Danio rerio: one gene and its partners. The protein of the gene in region 3 interacts with the protein of the main gene of each other region in a biochemical or structural test. Links are inferred from orthologs where the notes say so. Each region holds a gene or a part of one and is shown on either strand. Other genes may lie near its edges.

Region 1 (9,971 bases), on a different chromosome or scaffold from region 3:
AGACAGTACAAAACACAGCAAATACAACGACAGTCCAAAATACAGTAAGTGCAAAATACAAACAGTACAAAAACAGCGATAATGTGAAATTGACAGCGATATGTACAATGAATAGGCGTCCACATTGTTGTAGGCAGTATTGTTTCAAGTATGAATTGGTTCAAGTGCAGTGCATGCCACATATTGATGGTGTGCAGTGAGGGTTATGGAAGAGTCTGTGTGTGGTGTGTTAAGTGTTCATCAGCCTGATAGTCTGAGGGAAGAAGCTTTCCTTCAGCTGGCTGGTGCGTGATCGGATGCTGCGGAACCATCTGCCTGAGGGTAGCCGAGAGAAAAGTCTATGGCTTGGGTGGCTGGAGTCACTAATAATTCTCTTGGCTTTCCTCATGCACCGCCTGGTGTAGATGTCCTGGAGGGAGGGAAGTCCAGCAGTTCGCACAATCCTATGTAGGCCTTTGCGATTGCTGCTGGTGCTATTTCCATACCAGGTGGTGATACAGCCAGACAGGATATACCTAAGAAAGGATCTTCATGCATTGTTCAGCAGTATTTTGGTTTCAAATCGTGTGGCAGGTGCAAATGGTAAACCAGAATATGCGACTATCTGCAGGCTTTGCAAGAAAAAAGTAAAGGTATATTTCAATCCAGCTTAAAATACAGTAGTATAATATTTTGTCCATATGCCAGCCCTAATCTGTAATGTAATCAATAATCGACATGGTCTTAGTATGCATCATAGATATATACATTAGATGTCGCCTACCCTGTTGTTGTCTATTGGAAGGAATGCGTCAATAGAGCCGCCATTTTGGAACAGGGTAGCGCTGCTTTGAAATGAATGCGGGACCAAGGTACAGTGGAGGACTGTGGCCATCCAAAGCCAGAGATATACACATATATCTATGATCGGGAGTTTTCCTGGACGTTAGAATGCAATTTTCTTTTTAATTACGAAAATTTATAATTTTTCATCACTTTTCTACATTGATGGATCAGTGATCGCACTGGCATTCCTGACAAAAAGCTTGTGTTTGTGTGTATGGAAATGTACTATCCACCCTCCATGTTAAATTTGATCTAATCATGTCCTGAAACACAGCTCCTCTCCTGCTTTCACTTCTCATACTGACGGAGGGAGTGATTCGTTTGTGAATGAATCTCCGTTATGAACGACTCTTTCACTAGCCGATCATACAAGTTTCTGGCACCGCAGCATCTCGTTATCATATTTCTTTTGCACAGTTTGCTGATTTTATTCAACAAAACTAGCGTGTGCTGAGTGTTTAGTGCGAGTTGGAGCTACTTTGCCTTATGGTGAATGCAGTAAGTGACTGTATTATCATCAATATTGTTACCTGTTTAGCACAAAAGTTCAGAACATACAAAAACGTAAAAAAACTAAACCGTACCGATGAAATGTTCTGCCTTTGTGTTATGCTTTCTTTGTTTGCTCGTTACTACACCCGTAGACTGCTCTAAAGTCCCGCATCTTGACGTAATAACACTGTCTTGACTAGTGCGGTTGAATGACACTTCTCCTGGGAGCACTGTACCAATGTGGCGGCGCTATTGACGCATGCTCAGGGTCCCTATGCGATATCTAGTGTATATGAGTATGCATCCTTCTTATTGCTTCTTTAATCCATGTTAGTAAATGTTTACTTGAAGCTAATTCTACTGGCAGCAAGTCAGTGCTTTTCTTATTTTAGTATTTTTGGTGAACACTGATTCTGTGCTGTTTTAGTCAAAACAGAGATAAGATATATTATTAATCTCTAGTCTGGCCAGTTTTAAAGTATTTCAGTGCTCACCACTAGAGATTCTTGTCTTCTCGATGGCTGTTTATGTATTTATGTAATGCTCATGAAGGTTGTCTACTGGTTGTCTTCAATGCAGAGCAAGAAAGCGCACGTGATGATAACCGTGTCGTTATTCACATGCAGACTTCATTGAATCTCTAATCCCATTTCTATTCACATTTCATCAAGGCTAGCCGCTGAACCTTGAGCATTGACCTATGCATGCAGAGAGTTCTGTGGCTCTCAGCCCTGTCAGGCGGCCTCAGATACTATCAGGTGGTGGTGTGGTGTTGTGAAAGATTGTGTCCCAACTTGATCTGCTTAACTGGCAAGCCATTGGTCATCATTTCATTAGTTGTTGTTGGAAGTACCCACTCTAGTCTGAACCCTCTGTAGGATAGTCAATGAGCTGTAAACAAAAGTTGTAGTCATTTTCTGGCCATTGCCGCACGTTTCTTTTGTTGTAGATGTGTGTAACATGGTCTTTATAACAGATTGAGTCTGTGAATCAGACTCATTTCATCAGGTTGTGTCCACTCGTTTGGACGATGCTGACGACACATAAAACAGGTGCTGCTGAAGGATCAGTCTTGTGCCTCCGTCCCGTGGTTTGCATTACCGTTGCTCTCCTGTTACTGCGTGAATCTCGCTGTTGGCAGACAGCTGTGCATCATACTGATCTCCGATGTGCCAAATGCGTCCCTGCAATCTTGAACTGCCATAATAACCAGAGACCGCAATGCTCGGAAAGACATTTTCAGGTCACTTCATGCGGATTAAGGTTTAAGCCTTCTCCATGTTTTATTCAGTGCCTGTTTTCTTGAAGTTTAGCTTTACTGATTGTTTTGTTCTCTGAAGGGCGAGGGCGGTGAAGTTAGGCCACCCAGGAGACCGACTTGTTGACTCGACTTGTTGACGTGTTCTTGCAGTGTTAGATGATATCCTCCTCCCTTCATTCAGTACATTGTGGTGTCTATTTAGTAAACATGAGACACAAGGACTTAGGCCCAATACCAATTCTACCCATTAGCCCTTCCCCTTACTTTTACCCCTCGTTTTACGCGGTCAGGTGAAGGGCTGTCCCAATTCTATTTAGCTTGAAGGTGTAGGACTAAGGGGAAGGGCTAGGTAGCCCTTGAAACAGATTTTCCAGGACCACATTAAAGACCAAGAGGTACGAAAATTTCCCAGAATACTCCATTTACAAAGGCAACATGGCTGCATGCGAGAGTCAGGAGGTCTACAAATACGTATTTATTGGCATTAAGAGTTTTCACAACTTTTTAGCTTTCCAAAAAAAAAAATCGAATGGGGATTGGGCCTCAATCTTAAGGGGTTCCTGTTATGCTTTTACACTTTTGACTTGCATTTAGTGTGTAATGTTGCTGTTTGAGCTAGGAAAGAAGTTAATAAAGCACTCTATATCTGTTATAGTGAACAAGGCCTGAATCTCTATATCACTCTAAGTTACTCTATATCAGTAAGAACTCTATCCCCCGGTTTCACAAACAAGGTTTAAGGCTAGTCAAGATTAAATTGCATGTTTCATCGGTCTCAACTCAAAGAAAAACTTGCGGTAAGATGTCTTAAAATACGTCAGTGTCATTTTTTTTGTCTCCAGGTGAACACCAGTGATATATTTTTCTAAGGCCATTTTTATAAATGTGGCTTAAATAGCCTTATTTAACTTAGGCCTAGTCCTGGCTTAATCTAAGCCCTGTTTGTGAAACTGGGCCTATATCTTTGGTGGATGAGAGAGCTTAACGCACTGGAATTAAAGGCTGATGTATACTCCTTCGTCAAGTGCACGCATATATATTCGCACAACCTACATGTGGACGCATAGCCCTTACAGTGGCGGTCACCAACGTTGACACGTACCTCTCAAAAAATAAAACTACACAACGCAACAACTCGTAGCACAAGCTCCGTGATCGATTGGCTTGGTAGCGCTGATGAGTATGGGTGGAGGTGAGAGCCGCACGAGCCCGATGGAGTGAGTGTTTACAAGTGTGGAGTCCCATGAAGGAGCTCTAGATGGAAACTGTGGCTTTGAACTCTATTTTGAAGATCCAGGCGCAAGGTCCAAGGCGCAGCGATTTGTTTTAAAACTATTTCTAAATTCAGTTCTAATAAGTAACATAATAATAATAATAATAATAATACAAATAATAATAATAATAATAATAATAATAATAATAATAATACAAAAATGTATACAGTGCCCTCTGGTGGATTTGTCATCTAAAACATGCAGCAAAACAAACCCATAGCAATGTATTTTATCTTCTGTTAAAATGTAGGCTGAGGAACGTATTACTGGGTTGAACATAATGGTGTGTCCAAGAAGACTGGAACCATTGATGACTCAATAACTTCATTTATCTGAACTGATCTTCAAACTTTGCAGTCCTTTGTTTTACATCCACAAACAGTAACGTTACACACTACATGATAGATCATTTCATGGAAATAAAAGCATAATGGTGCACTTGAACAACTCTTAATGTCGTCTTTCTTTAATAGTTGTGTTTGTGTTCTTCCTCAGTTGCACAGTGAGGATGACTCCTCTGAATATTAAAAACACTGTGGCCTTTAGTTATGTGATATGATGTGTAAAGAATTGGGTGCATCTGAAATAACGGTGCACTAGAACAACTCAAAGTGGTCTTTCTTCAGTCTGAATAGTTGTGTTTTGTATGCCTCCTCAGTTGCACAATGAGGATGACTCCTCTGAAGGGGCCGCCAGTGCTGAACCGTCCACATCCACCCAGGCCGTTGGCGCTTTGGAGGGAATCAGCAACCTAGCAGTGGATACAGAAGCTCCACCTCCTCCATATGCAAGCGTGGCACTTGGAGCAACAGCTGCACCAGGTATGGAGATCCAAAAAGATTGATCATTTCCTCATTTGATCTGATCTGATTGATCATTAAAACCCTCGGCCAGATCACACGATTTTTATTGTCGGTTATGAAAGTCAGATTATGTGGTTATTGTCTTGATAAAATTTTGATTTGTCATGGGAATCAACTGTGCCAGACTACATGTTCCTTCACGATCAGTTATTCCGGGACGTCTACGATGAGCGTTATTTCCTAAAGCAGTCACAAGTGTTGCAATAACGATATTTCTTACCTCAATTTCAATATTTTTTTTTTATCTTATTTCAATCTCTGTAAACACTGATGCTTGCTGACAACTAGGCTGCATTATTTAAAGGCATTTGTTATGACATTGATAGGGTCAAACATATATTTTCTTTTTAATATTAAGATATTTTCATTTAAATCTAAATGTGTATTTTTCAGCCATGGGCTGCTTATTAAACACTCCCTTACCTGAACTTGCCACGAATGAGACGGAGAAAATGAAAGCACATCAGCACCGAGGAAAAATCAGATGCTTATGACAAAATAATGATATATTAAAAAAAATTTGCAAATATATGACAGAGGTGGTGACGCAGTGGGTAGCACGTTCGCCTCACAGCAAGAAGGTCGCTGGGTCGATCCTCGGCTCAGTTGGCGTATCTGTGTGGAGTTTGCATGTTCTCCCTGCGTTCGCGTGGGTTTCCTCCGGGTACTCCGGTTTCCCCCTCAGTCCAAAGACATGCGGTACAGGTGAATTGGTTAGGCTAAATTGTCCGTAGTGTATGAGTGTGTGTGTGTATGTGTGGATGTTTCCCAGAGATGGGTTGCAGCTGGAAGGGCATCCGCTGCATAAAAACTTGCTGGATAAGTTGGTGGTTCATTCCGTTGTGGCGACCCCAGATTAATAAAGGGAATAAGCCGACAAGGAAATGAATGAATGATTGACAGAGGTTTGTGATACAACAGTTACAGTGGAGCATTAAATCCTTATTTTCCAAGAGCGAAACAAATCATCCACCAACACAGTTCAGTAGTGGATGGGCACAAAAAAAGAAAAAGAGAATAATTTGTAAATTTTTCTTGGAAAGAATATTTGATTTTAAACAAGTTTTGTTTGTTATAATTTGTATCTTAATTTTAATGTAGTTTTTGTTGGTCAGTTATCTACCAGTCCGCTATATACTTCAGCCACCCATTACTAGGCTAAATATGCAGCCTATTTTTTGATTACTTGACCCGCTGAATGAAGGCATCACCGTTCATCTAACTGTAAAATTATGTGCTCCTATTGGCCATTGTCACCCACGTGACTGAACTGTGACCAACAGGAAAGAAAATGAAACATTCTAGACTTTCTGGGATGGTGTCCTGAGAGGTGGTATCAGTTGTCGTGAACTATGCCATATTAAACGAGAAGAAAGGATTGAATCTTGTGTCACAACACCCATTTGTTTTTTTCGACTCCCTACATCAAGGAAATCGTGCCGAAATCATGACAAACTCATGTGATCTGACCGGGGCTTAAGACAATACTGTGATTAAGAGTCAAACTTTTGATGACCTTAATTCGATTTCTGCTTAGTTCCATTATGACTTTAGTCGGATTAAGACATGTAGGCCCAATCCCAATTCTATTTTTGTACCCCTTCCTCTTTCCCTTGGCCCTTACAACAGAGGGTTAAGGGGAAGGGCTTCAAAAGTTACCCCTAAGAATTGGTGCAATACTACAACACCAGCACACGGCATCAAATGTCCTCGCGATTTCTTGCTTCATATGAGAACAGACGATCGCGACTGCTGGAGTGATTCCAGTTGTGTTATTTTTTGGTATTTATCTTCAGGAAATCACTGAAGGTATATATTATGTTATCATAATGATCTAATGAGGCAATAAGATCGTAATATTGTGCATTTAACACAGTGGCCATGCTCATCAATGTAAACACACAAAACAGCCTTAACATTATAGCAGACACTGTAAACAGCTTATTGACAGCCACTAGTCTTTTTTGACAGGGTATTCCAGTGTCATCGAGTGTCAGAATGTTGTGGGACTGCTGTACAGGAGTTATTATTAGGGATTGCAGATCGCTAAAATTATGCAATTTTTTAAATTTTTTTTTTTATTTTTTAATTTAATTTTTTTATTTTATTATTATTATTTTTTATTATTATTATTATTATAATTTTTTAAGTATGACGGTAAAACACGAACGAGGTTATGAATATAATAAAATGTGTTTGTTTGTTGTAAAAATTAGTAATAATGACAAAAAATACTAATTTGTGGATCTAATTACTTCCGGGTGCAGCTGTTGCTGGGGTATTCTGGGAAATTTTTCTTACTTTTTTCAAGTGTGGTTCTGAAAAGTCTTCGTTTAAAGAGGTGTATACCCCTTGCCCTTAGCCCTACGCCTTCAAGCTAAAGAGAATTGGGACACCACTACCCCTTCAAGGGCACGCGCAAAATGAGGGGTAAGGGGAAGGGCTAAGGGGTAGAATTGGGATTGGGCCGTGGAGTGTTTACATGGTATACCCTTAATCTGATTATTGTATTAAAATCAAAGTATTAGTGTCCATGTAAACTTACTTGATTCCATTGAAAGAAACTAAAGTTTTTCCTCTCACTAGAAGTAATTCGGTTAATCACAGCCATATATTTATTCAAAAGAGATGTACTGTAGGTGTTTTATCCAAGCTTTAATGGCAGGGAAAGTCCCTTAAACTTGCGAGCGGTCATGTATGATGTATTTCTAAGTGGTTATATTTTCGCAATTTCACAGGAACTGATTCAGAATTTCCGTATAAACAGATCAACCTTTTTTTTGTGTGTTGTGCAATGCAGTAGGGCCTTTTTTGATGCATGCTGCATCATGTCTGCTTGTGAAAGATCAACTATTTATAAAGAATGATCATGTGACTTGCATCCGCCATATGCTCTGCAAATGGCAAAAAAAAAAATGATGTAAGGACATTTTTGCCGAATTGTCATGTTTCCATTAGGCAGATTTTCAATTCACTACTTAAAGTGGGACAATTTGGCTGAATTTACACTGCACTGTTCAAGTGACTCAATTCCGAATGTTTTTTTTTTTTTTCTTCTGTCATGTGGCACAGATCGGATATGGCCCATGTACTTGTAAGCAGGAACAAATCACATGGATTCCGATTTACTCAAATCAGATTCATGCCTTGTTCACTATAACAGGTAAAAAGAATTAATAAAGGAACTCGGCAGAAAAGAAAATGAATGAATGAATAAATAATTTAAAGATATTCTGAGGATATTCTCAATATAAGTGTGCCAAATATTATTATTATTATTATTATTTTTTTTTTTTTTACCAAGCACAAGGCAAAACCTACTGCTTATGATCACTGCATCACAATTTTTTGCATTAAGGAATTTTTCTCACATCTCTAGAAATGAACAATAGTAATAGTGATTGTGATGCTCCTTTGAAGACTCGAAACTAGAAATGTGTGACGAATGGCTGACCTATGTTTTCTCAATTGTTTTTCAGAGAGCACATTTGCAGGGGACTTTCCCGTTCCTCCACCATACAGCATTGCCACGTCTCTGCCCACTTACGATGAGGCAGAGAAGGCTAAAGCAGCAGCCATGGCTGCATCCGCGGTGGAGGTCATTCCACGAGTGAGTTTCTCATCCGCCTACAACACTACATGCTCTGCAGAAACAAATACCAAGCCCTCGATTCACACGTCTTTCCACTGGGACTCAACCATTTTAGAAAATAATAGATTTTAACCAGTATTGAGATGGGGATTTTTATCTTCAGTATTATTAAAAATAGACAAGCATTCGGTTAGAGCTAAAGTACATCTAGGAGGTTGTTAGCGCAGAATAAAACTTTACTTGATTATCGGCTTTTTGTTGACTGAAGGCCTTTATTCTTTGAAAACAACTATCCTCAATGTACTTTATCCAGTTTATTACACTGCTACTTGCCACAAAATATAAAAATTGTACACAAAATATTGTAGTGAGCCAAAATAGTTTATTAATTCTCTAATTAAATGCAAAGCTGACAGAAAGGAAAGCAGCTGAATAGAGCTGATGGAGCTTAAACTAACCTGCACATTACTCAGCTACAAGATGGCGCCAAACAGTCAAAAATGCAAATCTGACGGAAACAGAATCAGTTGAATGGGGAATTGACTAAACGATGTATTATTCATTTAAAAGACTACACCAAACAGTCAGAAACAGGGTAGTGACAGAGAGGAAAATACATATATAAGTAAATGTTAGTATATGTATGTGAAGGTAGGACCATTCACAGACAGTCATGGTGATTCGAAGTTCCCAGATGAGGCTGTGTTATTCAGCGGTTGTTAACTAAGATAAACATACCTTGGAATGTCTCAACTGACCAATCAGAAGTGAGTATTCCAAACAGCCATGTTATAAGTAAGGAAAAAGTACATCCAGCTGGGTGTTATTGCAAAATAAAGCCTGACAGGTTATCGGCTGTTGTATAAGCCTGAAGGGCTTTATTTTGCAAAAACAACCACCTGAATGTACTTTATCCCACTTATTACATGGCTACTTGTCACAAAGCTCTAAGCTGATTGAAAGGAAAACAGCTGAATAGAGCTAATGGGGCATACACTAACCCACACATTATTCAGCTACAAGATGGCGCCAAACAGTCAAAAACGCAAATTTGACAGAAACCGAATCAGTTGAATAGAGAATAGACTAAATGATGTATCATTCATTCACAAGACTCCAGCAAACAGTCAGAAACAGGGTAGTGACAGATAAGCAATTACATATTAATATAACTATAAGTATTTGGATGTGAAGGTAGGACCGTTCACAGACAGTCATGGTGATTCGAAGTTTCCGGATGAGCTTGTGTTATTCAGAGGTTGTTAACTGGGAATAACATACCTTGCAATGTCACGACTGACCAATCAGAAGTGAGTATTCCAGACAGACGGGCTATAACTAAGGTATAAAGTACATCCAGTCAGGTGTTATTGCATAATCATCAGTTGTATAAGATTAAAGGGATTTATTTTGCAAAAATAACCACCTGGATTTATTTTATCACACTTATTACATGACTATTTGCCACAAAGCATAAAACTAAGACCCAAAACATTGTTCTGAGCCATAATAGTTTTTTAATTCTTTAATTAAAACAAAAACAGCTGAATGAAGCATACACATACCTACGTATTATTCAGTCACAAGCTGGCTCCAAACAGTATATACATACAGATGCGAAACTATTCACTGACTCTCAAGATGATTCAAAATACCTGTATGAG
Region 2 (10,526 bases), on a different chromosome or scaffold from region 3:
TAGATTCGATGCAATTGTAAATGTCTTATTTTACTACGTTAATTTGTCGTAGATACCTTGCTTCCTTTCGAGAAACTTTACACTCAACCTAGCGACAAACACTAAAAAGTTACTAACTGCTTCTAAAAGCACGCAATCAATATAATTTAAGGTAACTTTTACAAAATAAACAAAGAATAAAAAACACATTTTTAAAAGCTATTGTAAATCATAAGTAAGCATTAATTGCAATCCTATCCTCAAGGATGCAAAATTTACTTAAATTCATTAACCAAGACAAAATATTTGAACGAAGGCAACGTTAAAAAAGGCAATTATGAAATATAAGAATGATATGTTAAACTACAATGCAAATCAAACAGTATTTAGATATCTTACCAATGATTTGGACAACTCACTCGAAGAGATTTAAAAGCCTTCGCTTTAAGCAGCTCTGATATGTTTATATCGATCCTTGAGAGACTCCGGTTGGACAGACCAAACCCAGTGCAAATGATCCCTGTGTACACTGGCGTTTGGCAAAGAGCTGCACCTCCGGCTGATGTTCCGTCTGTGTTTTGATAGGATCGGCAAAGCAAAATTAGGAATGTTACTATGGCGAAGGCTTGGTTCATGAATGGTAAACACCTGCGCTGACGTTGATTTGTATCCTTCGTGGGGCGTCCAATTGCAGACGTAATTAATATTAAAGAGATAAGTCTTCTGTAGATTTAAACAAATCAACAAGGCCGACTGGCCGCAGAGAACGCCTGGTAATTAATATACATGAGATCATCCTTTAGCATAGTAATATTTACTCGTTCGTGTAGAGGAATTAACATGGAGAGCCACGTCGCTGACGTGAAATGTCGCAGACTCTGAGATCATTCTGTGAGGACGAAAAAAGGCTTACCATACAATATCAGTCTACCCAAGGCAAAAGAAGTACAATTTAAAATATTAAATGATATATACCCTCCTAATAGGTTTTTACACTTTAATTTAATTTTAAAAATTCACCATGCCTTGCAGTTCAATCATTTTGGAAAAAAATAAAGAATGTGAATGCTGTTGACTTTCATATTACAAGATATGGATTTACTAGGATTTTTTGCACAATTTGATAAATATGATCATTGTATAAGCCAAATATTTCATTCATAAATGTAGATATTTCAAAACACCTACTCATTGTATTTATAAAAGAACTTTTATAAGTCTTTACAAAATATAATTTTTAATCTTTTCGGATGCCCTGGCTAAAATAAAAACAAAAATTGCCTTAAAAATGCATATTTGTATCATATAACTTACCATAGCCGATAACTGTTATACAATGATTTCTTTTTTTATGTTTTTTCACTCCCAATTTTATTTTAGTTTGAATGTTTTTTGTAATTCACATTTTTTTTGTATTTTATTATTTTGTGTTGAGCCTTCCATGTGTGATACAATTTGTAAAGTTGAATGCCATTTTGTTGTATTTGGATTTTGTATTTCCAATAAAAAAAAATATCGTTGCTGGTTCGAGCCTTGGCTAGGTTCGTTGGTATTTCTGTGTGGAGTTTGCATGTTCTCCCTGCGTTTGCGTGGGTTTTCTCGGTTTCCCCTGCAGTTCAAAGACATGCGGTACAGGTGAATTGGGTAAGCAAAATTGTCCATGAATGTGAAAGAGTGTGTATGGATGTTTCCCAGAGATGAGTTGCAGCTGGAAGGGCATAAACTGCATATAACATGCTGGATAAGTTGGCGGTTCATTACGCTGTGTTGACCCTTGATTAATAAAGGAACTAATCTAAAAAATAAACTAATGAATGAATAAATAAAAAACAGTTGTTGTGCACAGTTGTTAAAATGTTTTCATTCTCAAGTCAAGATATTTCAGTAGATATTTTTGTCCACTTGCATGGAAAAAAATAATTTGTCAAATGCCTGTGTCAACTGCTTTGTTACCAGCATTATTCATATTTATTTTTTTATTTCCACTGTAGAAATAAAGTAGCTACTTTTATGTCTTACTAACACATTAAACCAACAATTGATGCTGACACAATATTTTATTGTTAGAAAAGGAAATTGACATTAAGCCACGTTTAGTGTGCATTGTGCAAAAACAATATTTTGGAGAAGTCTGGCATCAAAAATTAAGAGTGCTATTGAGTGATACTGCATAATAATTCAGTAAGAATGAATCAGGGACAAAAATGCCCACTATTAGTTAATAAATAATAATGGAAATTTAAAATGGGACTCCTGTGTTTTTTTATTTTTATTACCAAGATGAGTTTTATTTTAAAGGACTTAAGTTTATTTCTGATGCATTCAGCCGTACAAATCTATTTGTATAAATGTATTGTTTGACGGACCTAAATGAGGCTAAAGTTTTCTCAAATCTGAATTAACTACAGTTGATTTGACAATGTGCTTGATCTAGAGTTCTCAAAAGGCAACATGGCAGCAGTTTATATGAGAAAGCAATTGAATGCTAATTAACCATATTTTAAAACTGTATTTGCTATATATTTAATTGTCTCCCTAATCTTATTCTGTGGCTTTAATATAGAAGGGCAGTTTCAGTCTTAATCTCACCCATTGACAAGATAACACAAATATAAATGCAAAGTACACAACTGTTAAAGATAATATAAAGGTCATCGATAGAGAAAATAACATCAAGTAAAAATCTGCAGTCAATTGGCATCTGAATTGATAGATGTATGAATAATGTGATGGCCAAATGTGGTCACACATACTTTGAAGTTGAATTACATTTTACCCATTCAAGGGAATACATAATCACCACAATGAGAAGTGAACACAAACACACACAGATACGAGATACAAACAACTGTCACACAAAGCTCCAAGAAGACTTTTGTGTACCAAACATCTGTCAGATTATGCCGCATGTTAAAACATTAACATGAAATGAAAAACATTTGTATGTTGATTGGGTTTCTGACTTTAAAGGCTGTAAATGTGTTGTGTTAGATGTCATGTAAAATATATTTTTTTTTTTCATTGTTTAGGTTTTTTTTCACATTTTTATTGGATAGTGGAAGTTGAGACAGGAATGTGTGGGGAGCAATCAGCAAAGAACATCAAGCTTAGACTGATTTAGGTCACCCCAAGCTCTTACTAGCTACTGACACTGAGCATATAAAATATCTCAATTTGTATTCCGAAGTTGAAGGTCCCAGGGAGTTGTAACAACACAAGGATGTTAAAGGTTAGTTCTACCAAAAATTCTGTTAGTAATTACTTATAACAGATTTTTTGGTAGAACTAACCCTTAAGGGCACCTCAGTCTCGGGTACTGAAAGTGGAAGAGAGCTCTGTTCATTCCCTGCCACACTGACAACTGGTATGCAACTTTTCAAGCATGGTTGATTTAACTTAATTTCAAATTGTTTATCAAATGAAAGGTGAAAAACGAAAAAAAGTTCTTATTAATAGATTTATATATATATATATATATATATATATATATATATATATATATATATATATATATATATATATATATATACACACACACACACACACACACACACACACACACACACACACACACACACACACATATATATATATATAGCATACAACACACCAAACAATTGTATTATTTTTAAACACTGTATTATTCACCATAGTGTAAACTTTTTATTTGTTAATTTTAATATATATGCTTTTTGCTGGCTGTATGTGGGCGGAGTAATACACAAAAGGTAAAGAGGCTGTACTGGTGCTGATATTACTTAAATATATCACGGCTATCAGCCAATCAGATTCGAGGACCTGACAGAACTGTTGTATATATATAAAAATAACTCAGATTTAGCATGGTATTATAATGGTGGTGAATACATATTGTATGCTACAAACGATTTATCTTCATGTTCCTGTTAGAATAATCAAAAAGGACCCATGTGATTTAATACTTGGTTTAAATAGTGTAGGCCTAAATTGTTTGCAAATTCAGTGAAAGGGGTGATGATGGACCGTATGCTCTGAACGCATCACGTGGGAGTAAAACAGATGCATCCGAGCTTTAGCAGCACGACATCATGTGACAGCACCACATCATATGGGAGTGAAACTAGATGTGAACGCATTCTGGATCTGTCAAGACTGAGCTCTGCTTTTCTGCTGCATAACACATCCACCTGATTCAACAAAGAAGGACAAACGCAGTGCTGTAGTGCAGTGTTTTAGTGTTCCAGGCTCTTATTTTGTTTACCGGTGCTTTTCTGGTGCTTTCCGTACTGTTTTAGGAGAGAGAGAGGGAGGGAGAGAGAGAGGGCGAAGGAGCGCAAGAGGGGTGTGAAAGTGAAGCTCTATCATTCTTTGCGGACTGGAGGCTCAAAAACAGCGGAAGAGAGAAGGAGAGAGAGAGAAAGAGTGAGAGAGAGAGGAATCAATCAGCCATGGCAAATATCGCTGTGCAGAGGATCAAGCGAGAGTTTAAAGAAGTGCTGAAAAGCGAAGAGGTTTGCAAAACGCTACTTTACTATATTTTCCTGCCCGTTAAGAACAAACAGAAGGACTTTTGGCGATGAACACACAAAACCCAATGAGCTAGCCTAGCATGCTAAGCTAATGTTAGCATGAGCTGTCATATGATGGACTTAAGATACGGAAGTCACACTTCTGACAAATTTGCTTCTCTCGATGTAATAAAACGAAAACATAGACCTAAATGTTTAATTCATTCATGAACATGTCAGAGTATTGTTAAATTTGTGCTGGCACACATCGAGCTTAAGCCATGGAGCTATTTGACATAGTTAGCCGGCTAGCTTCACCAACACTTCTATAGTCTGCAATAACAGCACTCGCACTCAGTGTTTTAAGGTTGGTTTTCTGTTTTGAAATGCCCATTAGTGGTTTACTGATCGTGTTCCTACGTTTTTGTGTGTGTTGGTGTCAGTTAACAGGGCAGCTAGGATGTTCTTTTTTTAAGTAATGCAGCACCTTTGACAGACAGCATTTTTGGGAATCATAGACTCATATCATACTGTCTTTTAAGGGTGCTTATTATGTTCAGAAGACAGCTTCATAACTTGACTATACCGGTTGTTTCTTTGTTCAAGCAACTATGGTACTCCTTACTAAATACATTTTTGTTTTGCTTTTTAACAGACGAGTAAAAATCAAATAAAAGTAGATCTGGTGGATGAAAACTTCACAGAGTTAAAGGGAGAAATAGCAGGACCGCCAGACACACCATATGAAGGTAATGAGAGCCTTTACATGATGTTTCTTTAATGTTTGCTTGGAGATTAATGCTGGAGATAAGATTATAACAGGCTAACGTTTTTTTTTCTCACAGGGGGAAGATATCAACTAGAAATCAAGATCCCTGAGACGTATCCATTTAATCCACCCAAGGTAATTCAACAAGTATTCTTTCTGCTGTTTTTACATATAATATTGCCAAAATATTTTACATAGACATACTATTAAGAAAAAGGAATGTTATTAATATAAAAATAAGTAGATAATAGTGTAACATGGAATTAAAATAACACGATGAATGAATGAAAGGGGATACAAATGTTATTTATCCAAAATAAATATAAAAATATATTTTTTTATTTTGCGATATATATATATATATATATATATATATATATATATATATATATATTGCAATATGAATACAATTTTATCAATGACTTAATAACTCAATTTTTAATCTTAGATCAACTGGAATGACTCTGCAGTGGGAGTGCATCTCTATAAAATCTAAAATTAATAAATAAATAAACAATTGTTGTGATCTTTGCTATTTGCAGTGCATTTCTGTATTTGCATATGTTGTGAGTATTTTCATACATGACAATCTGTAAATGCAGTCAAGACAAAGATGTTATTCAAATAAAGGGGTTTGTTGTTTCCCAGGTCTAACAGTATTTAAGTACAGTAACTGAATGATAAAAATAAAAACCATTCAATAAGGTCACAAATAGTTCAAGTTCTTATACCCAAATGCTTTTAAAAACATTAAACAATCACAGGCGTCAAAAACATATGCACATGATGAACTATAATACAAACTCATCATTGCCTATCATGCGATGTGACTATTGCAAATGATCACATTGCGAAATCGATGCTAAAGCGATATATTGTGCAGCCCTATTATGAAGTTAAAAGTTCCATAACATTTGCATCTGGATGATCTTTGTTTATATTCATTAAGGCAGTAGTGGGTTAGTAATGTTCAGTAATCGACTGTACTGCTGTAATTTAGTTGTCTGGATTTGATTAGCATGCAAAGCCTTTTAAAGACATCGGGTTAAAGAGTTTAAGTATTTCACTTAAGTTCAATATTGATTCACATTTAGAATTAAGAGAGAAAGCTAAAAGTAATACTTTGTGAACTAACCAAACTAGACATGAGAAGAAGGATCACATGAACAACTGTTAAAGTGTTCAAGTAAATCTCTCTTCTCTTTGTCTTTAAGTCTAGAGGGGTCATTGCTAGTTTGGAGGAAAAAAAATAAAATAAAAAAAAAAAAGATCCAGATTTTATATTATTGACATTGATTATTTTTTTCCTTTGCGCCAGGCTATGATTAGTCAGAGGATATCAGACATGTTTGAAATTTTAAACAGATTTTAGAACATATACATTATCATTTGTCTTCAAGTAATGATATGAATGTTTCGTCTGCTGTTTATTATGTTCCAAATAAAATGAAAGTTTATTAACGTGTAATTCTCAGTCGTTTGATCTGCAATGCCCCAACAATTGATTAATAAACCAGTAAGTAACAGTTAAAAAAAAAGTTGCAGCTGAACCTAATCTTGCACTTACTCTTGGTAACATTTAAATGCCTTCTTGTATTTGAATATAAATTGGCAATCACAAAGTACTTACACATTTCAATTTATTTCGATATGAAAGCAGATATCCAATGTGTGACTCCTGTTCTGTACATTTTTTTTAACTGCTGGGAAACCTTCTAGAAGATATTTAAATAGACAGAAATCTTTAGTCAAGGATGAGACACATTTTGAAGTCTGATTCAAATTACATGCAGTGTTTTTACATGCATAGAAAGCATATTAAAATGTTAGCTTTAATATTAATAATAATCTTTTAATAAATGTTGCAATAATGCCCCAAAGGGTGGCACGGTGGCTCTGTGGTTAGCACTGTCACCTCACAGCAAGAAGGTCACTGGTTCGGGTCCCGGCTGGGCCAGTTGGCATTTCTGTGTGCAGTTTGTATGTTCTCTCTGTGTTGGTGTGGGTTTCTTCCGGGTGCTCCGAATTCCTTTATAGTCCAAAGACATGCGTGATAGGTGAATTTAATAAGCTAAATTGGCCATGGTGTATAAGAGTGTGTGTCAATGAGAATGTATGGGTGTTTCCCAGTACTGGGTTGGGGCGACATGCTCTGCATAAAACATATGCTGGAGTACTTGGCAGTTCAATCCCCTGTGATGACCTCTGAAATAGACTAAGCTGAAGGAAAATGAATGAATAATGCATATATTAGGTTAAGAATAAAAGCTTATCAACTACATTTTGTGGTATTTTAAATTATTAAAAACGTCATCCTAATACATGAGTTGGTAAAAGAAAACTGGCAAAGATTTACAATTTTTTTTTTATATAGAGGCAACAAATGATTCCTGTTTTAAATGTTATAGACAAGATGTTTTTGTTTCTGAACATTTGTTACATTGAAAGACGTGATGAATGGAGAAAAAGGAAAGAATATTAATTGTACTCATTTTTTACTCTTGAGTCTCTTCAGTCCCACCTCAATTTCAGATTATTGTTCATTGATGACAATTCTGAGTGCATTAACAAGGCAAAGAAGATCATTCAGAATTTAATATCAACTCGCAGCAAATAAATATATCATAAATTAAAATGAGTTTTGTCATCTTTTTCAGGTGCGGTTTATTACTAAGATCTGGCATCCCAATATAAGTTCTGTTACCGGGGCGATATGTTTGGACATTTTAAAAGACCAGTGGTGAGTGCTTCATTATCATGACTCATCATTTAATTTAATGGTTCAACTAAAAATGAAAACTGATTCAAAGTTAACTCCAAATTAAGTAGTTCCTAACTTTAATGGGTTTCTGTTTTCTGTTGAACACAAAATACAATATCATGAAAATGTTGAAAACCTGTTGACATCCATAGTTGCAAAAACAAATACTAGGGATGTCAGTGGTTACTGGTTTCCATTATTCTTCCAAATATCTTGAATTGTGTTCAACAGAAAAAGGAATGTCCATCAGCTTTTAAACAAGTGGAGGCTGAGTGAATGATAGCAGCATTTTCATTTTGGGTGAACGAACCCTTCAATAATTTTGACACTGCTCTTTCTTTCTCTCCTTCCTGTTCCCTTTTCAAATGATTGTGTCTTCATATCCTGTGCACAGGGCTGCTGCTATGACTCTGCGAACAGTTCTGCTCTCACTACAGGCTCTGTTAGCTGCAGCAGAGCCCGATGATCCACAGGACGCTGTGGTAGCCAATCAGGTACAGTCAAATATGCACTGTCAGTGGCTGCGTTCGAAATCACATACTACTCGAGTAGGTTATTCATCTGAATTTACCTCATGATAGTTAGAAAGGTACGTTTTAAATAGTACAATGCGTGAGTATTATGAATGATTAGAATCATAACTAAAACCTTAATATGTGAAATAAAAAAACATTATCTTTTAACTTTTATTGAATGTGTAAAATGCAAATCTAATTAGATTCACTTTATTTGGTAAACAAAGCAAGTCTCTCGTATATCTACTAAAAGACTGAAAATATGCACTGTATAAAAATCAAGTGAATATTTTCATATTAGTCAATTTTACTGTTATTGATTAAAAACTGAATATAGATTTACAAACATTTACACAAGTAAATAAACAATTAATGATGGGCTAAAAGTCTGCGGAAATAAACAGAATTAATGATGGGCTAAAAACCTGCGGAATTTTGCGCGCACAGATTTCGTGTGGGCCTACACATGACCTACCTGCGTCAGTTGATTTGCTTTGTCCATTCATTAATTTCTCTTACGTGTGGCATCATGGGATAGCGTTGCATCTATTTGATGTGCACTACAGCACTAAGCAATAAGTACTTTTCTTGGGAAGAAGTTTGTTTTGTTTCTAGTCCAAATATCTACATTGCACACACTGAGGAAGGCATTGTGCCGAAACGTTGAATCAAACGTAGAATGTAAAAATAAAAACAGTACGAAGCAATTACTTGATAAGTGCGAATCATTTCCTTTTTGAATAATAGCATTGACAAGATTGATGCACCAAAGAAGTTTCTTTTAAAAATGAGCATGTAGGCCAAACTTCATTAGTCCAAATATCTAAAAATTTCGAAATCACAAAGCATTTTCTAGACAAGCAAAGCATATTGTATTGTCCTGTTTTCCCTTTTGACATAAGATTATTTTGCTTAGCCCACTGGCAGATTATTTAACTTTTTTTTTTACCTTAATTTTGACATATTTCTTAAAACAAGACAGTATGTTTTGCTTGTTTAGAAAATGCTTCTTGATTTTTAAAACTTTTTGGATATTTCGACTGGAAACAAAACAAAGCCGGAGTAGGTAGTAGGTCCTCTGGGTAGGCATGGGCCAGTATAAGATTCTGACGGTATAATAACCTTGGATAAAAATATTAAGGTTTTCATGCTGTTGTGTTTATTATGTTCTTTATATTTCTTCTACTTATAGTTTCACATTTGAAAAGGCATCTTTGGATAATTTTCTTATCTTTGGATATAAATAAGGGTCCATAGCATGCTTGGATGTTGGCGTATAAATGATTTGGTTTTCAGATGTGGGCTGACCAGTAGCTTTTGATGTGGATGTTCCTTTTCTGCTGGAGATACTGTTCCCCTAAAATACTAAATAAAATGGCAGTAAAAGCACTTAACTTGTATATAACGTAAGAATGGTATAACAGAAAATTTAAGCGAATTTAAAAATTTTTTAAATTATTTTTTTTTTAATCTTGAAAACGGTTATTGTCCCATGGCTACCTCCGTGTATTTCTTCACGTATTACTTATTTAGACACACTGCTATATCACAGGGAAGTATGCGATTTCGGATGCAGCCCGTGTCTCTGTCTAAATGAGAATATTGCATGACAATGTGGCTTTGTAAACCTTTTAACAACGTCACTGTTGTCTTTTTTTTTTTTGCAGTATAAGCAGAATCCAGAAATGTTCAAACAAACTGCTCGTCTCTGGTCTCACGTTTACGCTGGTGCTCCTGTGTCCAGTCCAGAGTACACACGCAAAATAGACAAACTTTGTGCAATGGGCTTTGACAAAGTAAGTACTGAATAGTGGCAAAATAAAAAGATGCACTGACTAAAGCAGGGTTTGGCAACTTTGTGACATGTGGTATTATTGGCTTTGTGACATGTGGCACTATTGGCACATTACTTGTTGGAAATTCAAAATGTCCAAAGCTATTGAGGTTCTAATCCTGTCCTGTGTTGTGTTTAGCATGCTGGCTTTTGACTGGCAACTGCTAGTAAAAAAGATTTA
Region 3 (10,642 bases):
TACAGCAATCTGATTGGCTGACGCTTCAGTCGGCACTTGAAAAGTTGAGCTAGTCCCAATTTCTGCAAATTTTCCTCTGAAGCGGCGCCGACGGATCCACAATGCAGTTCGGCAACGACTGACGTCAACAATTCAAAGTGAATGGGAAGCTTTGACGCTGACGCCCCGTTTGAATGGGGCTTAAGGTTTTCATGCTTTTAGTTTCATTACAGTGACTTTAGTTAAATGAGCCAATGTTAAGAAATGGAACGTTATTGTATAAAGTTAAAGATCAAAAATCCTATAAAGTCTTTGAATTTAAAATGTTGTAACTTTGAATAATGTTAAAATGTTTGTTTGTCTTTTTAGTCTTCAGACATTTCGTTCAAGAAACCACTGCTAATATACAGCAATATAGCGAATAATCTTAAAAGCACTCTAAAAGCTAAAATAATTATTTACTGTGTTTGTGAGTGCTCACTATATTGATGTTTCATGTGTTCATTATCATGATATATTGGATTATTGAATATTGACATATCTAATTGATAGACATGCCGACTATTCCAAGATGGAAAGCATGTTGACATTTTTGGAGCACTCAAATGTGACAGCTGTTCATGTATGTCTTTGACTTGAACCTAAAAGGAAGGTGATATTCCTTGCCCAAGCTTTATTATATACTCATATATTCTTATGTAGACAGTTTTGCAGAAACACTGACTGCATTTTGTCGTTGATTATCTCAAGTACAGATGATGATTGTCAGTCATTGTAAGTAAGTATAGCTTTCGGTTTGGAGGCAGTGAACAGGAATGCTCTTATTGTGTTTGTGCACGAGTTGTTACAGTCCACAGGGAAAGGGTTGTTGTCTCTCGTGTGAGAAGGTTTTGGCTGAGATCCAATGCAGAGCTGAGCAGAATCTGAGGGTTTTCCTTATATGTCTGAGAGGGAGTGCACGTATGGTGTCCCGCTGGTTAGATACAGATATAATGAAGGATTTTCACGCTTTCTCGCGTACATGCTCTCTTGGTCTATTTTTGTCCTGTAGTTATCTCTTTAGTTTCTTCTCATTAGTACTCTACTCATTCCTATTGGCTGATTTCTTAGTTTCTCCGTTTCTTACAATCTTGCTTTTTCAGCAAGAGTGCCCATTTAAAAAAATACTATAGGATAAACACTGCTGTGTTTTTAAATCCTATTATAGTGAATTAATCTGTGGTAATTCTCTAATGCAACATATATTGTAATACAGTATAAACAAATTACCTATGTACAGTTGAAGTCAAAACTAGTCTAATATTTTCCAAATCATACCTGCCAACACTCCCGTTTTTCCCGGGAGTCTCTCGTATTTCAGACCCATCTCCCGCTCATCTCCCGTATTTTGCTATCTCCCGGAAAACTCCCGGAACTCTCTAATAATCTGTTATTAGAACTAAGTTATTAAAATTATTATGTTTAGAAATGTGTTGAAAAAAAAATATTTTTGTTAAACAGAAATTAGAAAAAAAATGTAGAGGGGGCTAATAATTCACGAAGGCTAATAATTCTGACCTCAACTGTATGTCATCGCACAATAGTGTTGTCATGAGTACTGCTTTCAGCTTTGAACTACTGTGAACTGACGGTTAATATTGCTGTTTCAGATTTTCATTATCATTAAAATCATGGTTTTAACTGTAAATCCCGTAACATTACCTAATTGCAATCGCAAAAGGCTGCTAAGTAAATGCATGTTTAGACATTATATAGTTAAAGTAAGTTGTATTCATTTCATTAAAGTGTGTCCTGCACACTATTGAGTATACGGAGTTAAAGATTCTAATCATAATATCAGTCAGACAAATCTCACAACCCATTTTTGGCTTTTAAAGCAGCTTTATGCAATATTATGAAAGATAAGGTAAACATGGATCCCTGTGAAGGAGTTTTCGAAGTGAAGGTTTAACAATAAACGCCTTGAATTATCTGTAGAAACACATTTTAGTTGATGTTTTTTCATTTTAAGATACAAATCTTAGTGCAATAAGTGTGTGAGACGTGTTTTTGAACATTTTAGGTAGTTTTAACAAAAATGTAATCATTTTTGTCACTTTAATCATACTACTCTCATACTCTATACTACAATACTATAGTTTACTGTAGTAAAAAAAATCTAGAGTATTATATTGTTAATACTACAGTATGAAGGAGCCTTCATTACCAAAGTATATACTGTATGCAGTATAATACATTTTACTGTATTATGGTTTAGTAGACTGAAGGATTTACTACAAATTACTATAGTATTTTTGCATGTGAGCGGCCTTGTCATTCCACATTCTTCTGTGCAATTTTTTTTTTGTATCTTTAAACCGCTTAACAGCTAGTTGTAATGAATTCACAGCATGGTGGTTCCCAAATTCCAGTGCTGATGAGTTCATATTTATTAGGTTCTGAACAAGAAGGAGATGTCACGGTGGCGCAGTGGGTAGCACAATCGCCTCACAGCAGGAAGGTCGCTGGTTTGAGCCCCGGCTGGGTTAGTTGGCATTTCTGTTTGGAGTGTGCATGTTCTTTCAGTGTTCGTGTTGGGTTTTCTCCAGGTGCTCCAGTTTCCCCAAGACGTGGCATAGGTGTATTGAATAAGCTAAATTGGCCGTAGTGTATGAGTGTCCAAGAGTGTTTCCCAGTGATGGGTTGCGGCTAGAAGGGCATCCGGTGAGTAAAACATATGCTGGATAAGTTTGTGGTTCATTCCGCTGTGGTGACCCCTGATTTTTAAAAGGGCTAAGCCGAAAAGAAAATGAATAAATGAATGAAGAAAATGGATTAAAAAAATGAACCAGGAAAAGATTTGACTTTTTATCATATCATATAACGTTAAAATCTTAAATTGTTTATTTGTTTTGGGGTTTTTATTGTATATTTATCAATGTAATGTTTTTTTGCAATGGAAATGGATATTGTTGCCAACATGGCATTAAATAAAACAAATATAATTTGCACAATTCTTCAAAGCAGTTTTTGTAGATTGCATTTATCTGAAAATTGCCGCCATGGAGAAACTCAACCACTCCAGAGACGTGTGGGTGAGCGAATGTGCTTTTTGAAAACCCAGCCAGGTCAAATCACCAGTTTGCCTTTATTCAATCCAATGTTTATACTATTTAGGTTATTAATGGTTTGGTTTTTAAGAAATGCATGCAAAATAAATGCTTTGGAAAGTCGTTGTTTTTGTAGGTTGCGCTGTGGAAGCCCTCTGTCGTAATTCCCAGAATGCTTGGCACTGTGAAACTAATGCTTACGGCATGATGTCTCCGTTCTTTGTCCGCAGCTCACCCACTGCAGGGCTTGTGTGCCCTCCAAAACAATGCCCCCTTTAGAAAGCGCCCACACTCTCACAATCAAGGCCTTTCTTTCAGTCGCAGTCTGTCTCGCTCACTCCATCCAATAAGATGCTGCACTGACTTCATGGTTTAGGGTAGGCTGGTGTTGCTGAAAAGACACAGTTCTAATGGTGTTGATGTGTACAAGAAGACTTATTTTATCATCTAATAGCTGAAAATCATATAAAAAGTCAGAATATCCACCTAAAATGTTCATTAAATTGTTTAACACTCATTGTCTAATTTAAATTGCATGGATGTTGTTGTTGGCTTTTATACATGCAGTATTTCATACTCCTTTGAATTAAGTTGCCTTTGCCCTCTATTTCTCCTTTGACAAATCAGGGTGTATGAAGTGTCTCATCGAATTTGAATACAGACAGTGTTGTATGCTCTCTCTGGATTTTAACATTGGCTTTAGCAAGTTGCTCAGGCTGTCAGCAGTCTGTGTCAAATGTGGTATTCTCATACCTGTGAGCAAAGGGTTTTAGATACTGATAAAAAGATTCTGATTTGGCAGATTGTGTTTGTGATAAAAAAAAATAAACACATGGGTTTTATTCAGCCCACACAGACTTTGTGAACAATGTATTATTTGCAGTAATAGCTGTATGTTATTAGTCTGATTTCCTGTCACTTTAAGGATTTCCCCCAATGAATAATTCGAGGTGGTTTTTAACCTGCACAAAGTTAAATTGCTTTGTTGACTTAGTTTAGGAGTGGTCTTGATTGTAGATTTTTTTTTCTTCAACTGCTCTCAAGACTTTGCCCCGGGCTGCATCCTGAATCATTGTTATTGTGTTGAAAGAGAGTGACTGTCTTGTGGTCTAAAACTTCCCTTAAGTGTTTTTCTTTAATGCAGACGGAACATTTCAGCCATGCCAACCCTTAAGAAGCTTGAGAAATATTGCATGTCTGTACAGAGGCCCCAACATAAAAAGCTGCAATGTTTTTCCAGCTTTTCCTGGATATTTCCTGCTAGAGAATGTCTGTAACGATAGTGGTAGACCTCTAATACCTCTTCTGTTTACCCATATATGTCTGATTGATGAAGTTCTTCGTGCTTTGATTTGTGTTTTATATGTATATAAGTATATAGGAATAAGTAAGACTAAATTCTTACTTTACCAGTTTGAGATGTGCACAGCACCTTGTCCCAACTTGGCTTGGCCCAGTGTGCCCTGTGTGTGGGATGAGCACGAAGAATTATGAGCTTGTGGAGAGTGTTTTCTGAGTCAGCTGTGATCCCTCTCTTTCTCATCCCACCCCAGGCGGTCTAGGTCCTTCTGACAGATCAGTAGCAGCTGAGAGAGTGCTGTTTGGGTCTATCCGAGAAGTGGGGGTGGGTGCCTACTGGATCACATGACTTCGGCCACCCTACCCTCACCTTTGCTTTCAAGAGCACCAGGCGTCCTTATCCAATCATGCCTGGAATGTAGCTTGCCACTTGGGCTATTTCTGCTGTTTGTCGCTATCAGACTGCAGCTTGAACAGTTTGACACATGGGGTAGTTTCTTTTTTTTTTTTTGATTTTCCTATCCCTGGTTCTTTCTAGCTTTTTCTTGCGCTCTCTCTCCTCTCTCTCTAAAGCTTGTGGGTTGAACTTTTAAGCTCCCTGGCAGAGCTTCACTGGTAGCTGTGAAACGAAACGCAGCCTCTGTCTGTGAGTAAGGGAAAGAGAGAGAAAGAGGGTGGATGAGCAAGACAGAGAGAGCAAGAGCAAAAGGGGAACAGACACACTAAACAGTGGGTGAGACAGATCCAGCAAAGGCTGGACAGAGACAGATCAGGGCGGACAGGAGAATGTCTCACCGGCTTCGGTTGTATTTTGGATCTGGTCGCAGTAACACTGCTCCAGAGTTGGAAGAGCTGAATGGGACAGTGGAGGAGGAAGGTGACATAAGCTACAACAGTACAGGAGCCATGGTGGTCCATGCACAACCACGTAACGGAGGACATGCAGAAAGTCCAGAACCAGGCACAGTTGTTGGTTCGGATGCCTCTCTAAAGCGAAGCTCTTCCATGTTCATCCCACAGCTCCAGGGTCAAGCTGAGTCACGGACAACCAAGAGCACCTCTGTTCAAATATCTCTTCAACGCACAACTGCCCCTCATGAAGATGCATTACCCTTTGATCCACCTCCAGCGTACCCCCAGGATCCAGCTCCACCATACACTGAACCTGGTGAAAGTTTGCCCTTACCTCCACCTCCAACCTACTACAAATCCTGCCAAAATGTGGAACAAACTCAAAAAGATACTGAACCTAAGAGGCAAGTCTTTTGTGTCCGGCCATGTGATGGTCAAAATGGTTATACCCATGGAAATCCTCAAGGGATCACTATTGGAGGTGTCTGTATTAGAAGAAGATCTGCAGATGGCTCGGATGTCCAGCAGTTCAGGATTATGCCATATAGCGAGGATGGGCACAATGGGCACAATTGGTCTGTCCAGCAATGCTCAGACAGAGGTCCTGGTGCACAAAGACTAATTTTTCAGCTCCAAAAGGACCAAGGACGGCAACCAAGCTCTACCTCTCAGCCTGACGTGAGTGATTTAGGCATCACAGGTTCTAAAGGTTCCCGCTTGGTGCGGTACCCCAGGATTCGACTTGAGCGGAGCACGTCACAGCCATTGCAGCCTAGAGGAGCTCCTTCACGCCTTGGATCAATGCCAAACCTTCATGCTCCTATCTCAGAAATGGAAACGGAGAGTGATTTTATTGAGAATGGTGCTCAAGGTTGCACTTTCAAAATTAGGAAGGAACAGAATTCCCAACAACCGAAGTTTAAGATTTATTTCAGCCAGGGCGGCGAGCACAGTCCCATCCTCGAAAGGAATATTAGCATTGGAAAGGCGCCTACCTGCAGCAATCCACAGGTACTGCTGAGTGTCTAAAGTTAAGTAATATTTAATCTGACCGTGAAGTGCATAGTTTTATTAACAAGCAGTTATTTAGTTGCTCAAACTATGCTGTAGGGTGTAGAAAGCTTTAAGTGTGTTTTAATAATTTGTAAGTGGCTGGAGAATAGGAAAAGCATATGAAAAAAATAGGTAGCTGGATTTTCAGTAGAAAGAGGAGGTGGGTTCAGAAATGACTTATTCACAACCCACATTCTGGGAAGTGAAAATTCCATGAAAATAGGGGCCAGGAGCAAGACGTAACCGCACTGTCTATGGTTTCCTAACAAGCATACAAACCCTTAAACTCAAGAAGTGGAAATGTATGGGGACTGGAAGCATTTTCAGACTGAACTTCATTCATAGTGGCCACTTGTCTTTTTCCCCCTCTCTTGAAGAGGAGCCTGTTCTATCTTTAGTCCCGTGTCAAGTGTTGTTGTTGGTTTTGAAAGCAGCCTTTCTCCTTTGGACTGGGTTACCGTTCATCTCTTGTGACAGCTGTTCTGTGGTGATTAAGGTCTAATATATGGTTACACATGCTGCTGTTCTTGGTATCTCAAAGCTTTTAATTTCCCAACCCTTAAGTGGTTCCAAACTTTTATGAATTTCTTTCATCAGAACTTTCTGATTTCTATTTCTTTCTAAACTATTCCTTTAAGCACTTATTTTTTCCTCATATATTTGCCACTTTTTGTCACTCCCTAGAAGTTGAGTTTTTTTACAGGCTTTGAAACTCCTTTCAGTGACTCAGAGTAGTGCTGAAAATCTGTAAGTGTGTGGGATTTGTCAATTTGTCACCAGTTGTTACTAGTACTAGAACTAGTATCTATCCTTTACAGAAGTTTAGGTTTGCGTTCGAAAGTTCTGGAATCTCTAAGACGTCCACATTTTAGAATATTCCAATGTCGAAATCAGCACTGTCACACGCATACCTTCAGCTTCTGTGGCAGCATATGTATTTCCAGTACCTGCTGAAAAGGCTTTACTGGAAATGAGTCAGTCAAGAAGCTAAATGTTCCAGCAGCAGAGTTCATCAACTGAAGTGAACCGCTCTCGCGCAGATCTGTTTACTTCATGCTGTCATGACTGCTCTTATGAACGCCTCAAGCAAGTCTTTGTTGATGCTGGATTATCTCTGAGGATAAGTCTTGTAATACATCATAACCTGTGGAGTTCTTGTTTACAAACAATACAGAATACAATACACTTCTGTTAATATTTGATTTTAACAAGATGATTAGCAGAAAACAATAGCTTTCACATAACCATATCACATTTCGGAGATCGTCCATTGCATCCATCCCCTTGTGGGAAGCATGGATTTCCAGTAGACTTGCCAGTGCTCTCAGATTAAAGGGGCACATTTTTTTTTTTGGAAATAGGCTCATTTTACAAGTCTCTTTGACATAAACAGTTGAGCTTTACCATGTTTGAGTTATTCGGCAATCTCCAGGTCTGGCAGGAGCGCTTTTAGCTTTGCTTAAAGATGTTGTTTCTAGGTTGATATAGCTGGGAAATACACTACCTGAAAATTGTTCTCAATCCCAGTTGTAAGAGTAAAGAATAATAACTTGTCTTCTAGTTGATCATTTGGAAAATTGGTAACAGTTATATTTTTTCAACACATAAACTGCAGAACACTTATTGGAACCTGGAAGGGCCCAAGATTCTTATAGAAATCCATCAAGTTTGGTGTAGGAAAAATCATGGTTTGGGGTTACATTCAGTATGGGGGCGTGCAAGAGCTGCAGAGTGGATGGCAACATTAAATGGCTGTGGTATCAAGACATTTGTGGCAAATTCTTTAGCAGGATAGCACTCCGTCTCATGCTTCAGCCTCCACATCGAAGTTCCTGAAAGCAAAGAAGGTCAAGGGGCTCCAGGATTGGCCAGCCAAGTCATCAGACATGAACATTGAGCATGTGTAGGGTAACATGGAGATGAATCCATAGAATCTTGGTAAACTCTGGGAGTCCTGCAGGAACACTTTCCTAGCCATTCCAGATGACTTTATTAGTAAGTTATTTGAGCCATTGCAAAGATGCATGGATGCAGTTGTCCCAGCTCATGGGAGCCATACACTATATTAATTCTTTTTCCACTGCACCATAACTTTATATTCTATACTGTACATTATTTCTGTTCAGTGAAAAGACTTTTGTCTAAGCAAAGTCAGACCTTACTGTCCTAATTAAATAATTAAACATCAAAGCATGATTTAATTTTGGTAAAATAAGCATAATCTAGCGGACTTTGCCTTTCATATAAGCCACTTATAAAATTAATGATCAACTCGAAGTAAAGTTATTATTTGTTGTTCCTAAAACTTATAATTCAATTGCAATGTAATAATCAAGGAACTTTGGTGCAGTATATCATAGCTGCTTGCAAAATTTGCCTTTATCCCCTAGCACACATGTAACTAAAGAAGAGAAACTCTACGAATTTTTAGGCACAATGCAAACAATCTTTTAGATTCAAAGATATATGCTAAGCTAAGCTTAAAGTGCTCCTGCCAGAACTGGAGATCAGCTGAATAGAATTAAAAATTGAACTGTTCCAAACAGTCTCACGGGTTTTAGTAAGCATGATGAGGGGATGTGGGGGCAAATCTTGCTCAAGTCTGCTGTGGCAGCTTTCTTCCAGAACTCAGGATTTAGTGGTTTAAAAAAAAACCTGTGCTAACAAGTAAGAAAAGAACAGTGAGAGAGTTTGAAATTGAGGATACATGAAAGAGTCAAGCTATGTCAGCATTTCCAATTGCTGTGGTACCTTGTTATTGTTGTCGGACTGGAGCACTGCACCTAAATATAAGGGGGCTCCAGACTTATTTTAGCTTACTTCCAGGTTTATTTTAGCATCTCTTCATGTTGCGGCTCAGTTGTCGGAAGTTTTTCCCCTCAAGTCCTATTTTCATAACCCCTGACCCTGACCTTTGCAGTCCAACTATGTGACCTCTGAAGCTTACAAAGTAATACGCTTCTTTTTTCTGTTTTCCTTCCTTTTGATCTGTTGTTTGGTTCAATTTGTTTGTGTCTCTTTTTAAACATGGCCTCTTGGTTCTAACTTCCCTGCTGTCTTGATTTCTGCTTGTTTTGAGTTTCTGTGCTTTTCGGCCTATTTAACGGCTTGAGTCGTCTGCTAACTCAGCTCCGTTCTGGACGATGACTAAGCAAATGCTTATTTTTAACACTCAGACCAATGTGTGGGAAAAAGTGCTTTCAAGGTCATATAAAGACATGATATCTTAATGCTCTCGAAGTCGCTGTGAAGTTTAAAGTGATCAGTTAAATCATTTTTACTTCTTCAGAGTATCACGTTTATTGCAGTAGGATAGGAAAATAGTTTCCTTAGCGACTAGAGCTTTTGCCAAGACACAAGGGATGCAAATCTTCAACAGCGTGACCTTTAAGACTCAAATCCCTGGTGGAGCTTTCTAGGTCATTCCTTCGTACCTTTTGGGTTAATGAATTTAGCTTCTGTTTGTGATTCACAATTGCTCTTGGTGGCTGTAACCCCATTTGACTCAACTCCTTAACATTTAATCAGAGTAATGTCTTAGACATGGTGTGTTTTCCATGATGAGGAGGGGATTGAAAATGTATTTGTGGTCCTGTTGTTCACTCACCATCAAAAATAGTGACTCGTACTTAACCTTTCCACAATAAAACGTTATTGACCATAAACTGTACCAATTCTTTTGTTTTGAGGCTAACTTTTACTTTTACGTCACTTTACTTCACTTTACCTTACTTTTATTTTACTTTAAATTTATTTTAGTATTTATTTTATTTTTATTTTGTTTGACTTTTTTCTTCATTTTAGTTTTTTTTTTTACTTTTGTTGTTTATTTTTTACTTTTTGTTTTACTTTAATTAATCTAAATTTGATTATGCTTTATTATGTTGTCATCTTTTTTTTAAATATTTTGACTTTAATTTTTATTTAGTTTTTCTTCATTTTATATCCATTTGTTAGTTTATTTTACTTATTTTTTTTACATTTATTTTACTTTTGTTTATTTTATTTCTTAAACTTTTATTTTACTTTATATTATTAATCTCAATTTTATTATACTTTATTATGATTTATAATTTTAAATTTACTTAAATGTGTACAGAAATTTATTTAGTTTTTTCTCAATTTTATTTATTTAACTTTTTATTTTTATTATTTTATTTTACTTTTATTTTGTATTTTTATTTTTACATTTATTTTTATTTTTACTTAGTTTTATTTATTGTACTTTTATGTTTATTTAGATTTTTTTTTTACTTTTATTGTACTTTATATTACAAATCTCAATTTTATTATATTTTATTACTTTTTATTTAAATATGTTTTACCTTTTGGTTTAGTTGTTAAACCAAAGTAAACCAATTTTTTATTTA

What was found.
Region 1: of the proteins of nedd4l (region 3) and ndfip2, one has a biochemical effect on the other in vitro, tested with the Homo sapiens proteins (2 studies listed by BioGRID, with this or other methods). The link is inferred for Danio rerio from reciprocal best matches to the Homo sapiens genes NEDD4L and NDFIP2.
Region 2: the proteins of nedd4l (region 3) and ube2kb form a complex in vitro, tested with the Homo sapiens proteins (2 studies listed by BioGRID). The link is inferred for Danio rerio from reciprocal best matches to the Homo sapiens genes NEDD4L and UBE2K.

The regions. Positions count from the first base shown.
Region 1 is NC_133176.1:6,776,990-6,786,960, reverse strand, and holds part of ndfip2 (NEDD4 family-interacting protein 2), read left to right. Parts: intron 1-4,510; coding exon 4,511-4,673; intron 4,674-8,194; coding exon 8,195-8,325; intron 8,326-9,971. UniProt on the Homo sapiens protein: Activates HECT domain-containing E3 ubiquitin-protein ligases, including ITCH, NEDD4, NEDD4L, SMURF2, WWP1 and WWP2, and consequently modulates the stability of their targets. As a result, may control many cellular processes.
Region 2 is NC_133176.1:24,893,639-24,904,164, forward strand, and holds the start of ube2kb (ubiquitin-conjugating enzyme E2Kb (UBC1 homolog, yeast)), read left to right. Parts: upstream 1-3,953; 5' UTR 3,954-4,406; coding exon 4,407-4,469; intron 4,470-5,121; coding exon 5,122-5,215; intron 5,216-5,311; coding exon 5,312-5,370; intron 5,371-7,892; coding exon 7,893-7,975; intron 7,976-8,390; coding exon 8,391-8,490; intron 8,491-10,178; coding exon 10,179-10,307; intron 10,308-10,526. UniProt on the Homo sapiens protein: Accepts ubiquitin from the E1 complex and catalyzes its covalent attachment to other proteins. In vitro, in the presence or in the absence of BRCA1-BARD1 E3 ubiquitin-protein ligase complex, catalyzes the synthesis of 'Lys-48'-linked polyubiquitin chains.
Region 3 is NC_133196.1:12,329,616-12,340,257, reverse strand, and holds the start of nedd4l (E3 ubiquitin-protein ligase NEDD4-like), read left to right. Parts: upstream 1-4,833; 5' UTR 4,834-5,153; coding exon 5,154-6,230; intron 6,231-10,642. UniProt on the Homo sapiens protein: E3 ubiquitin-protein ligase that mediates the polyubiquitination of lysine and cysteine residues on target proteins and is thereby implicated in the regulation of various signaling pathways including autophagy, innate immunity or DNA repair.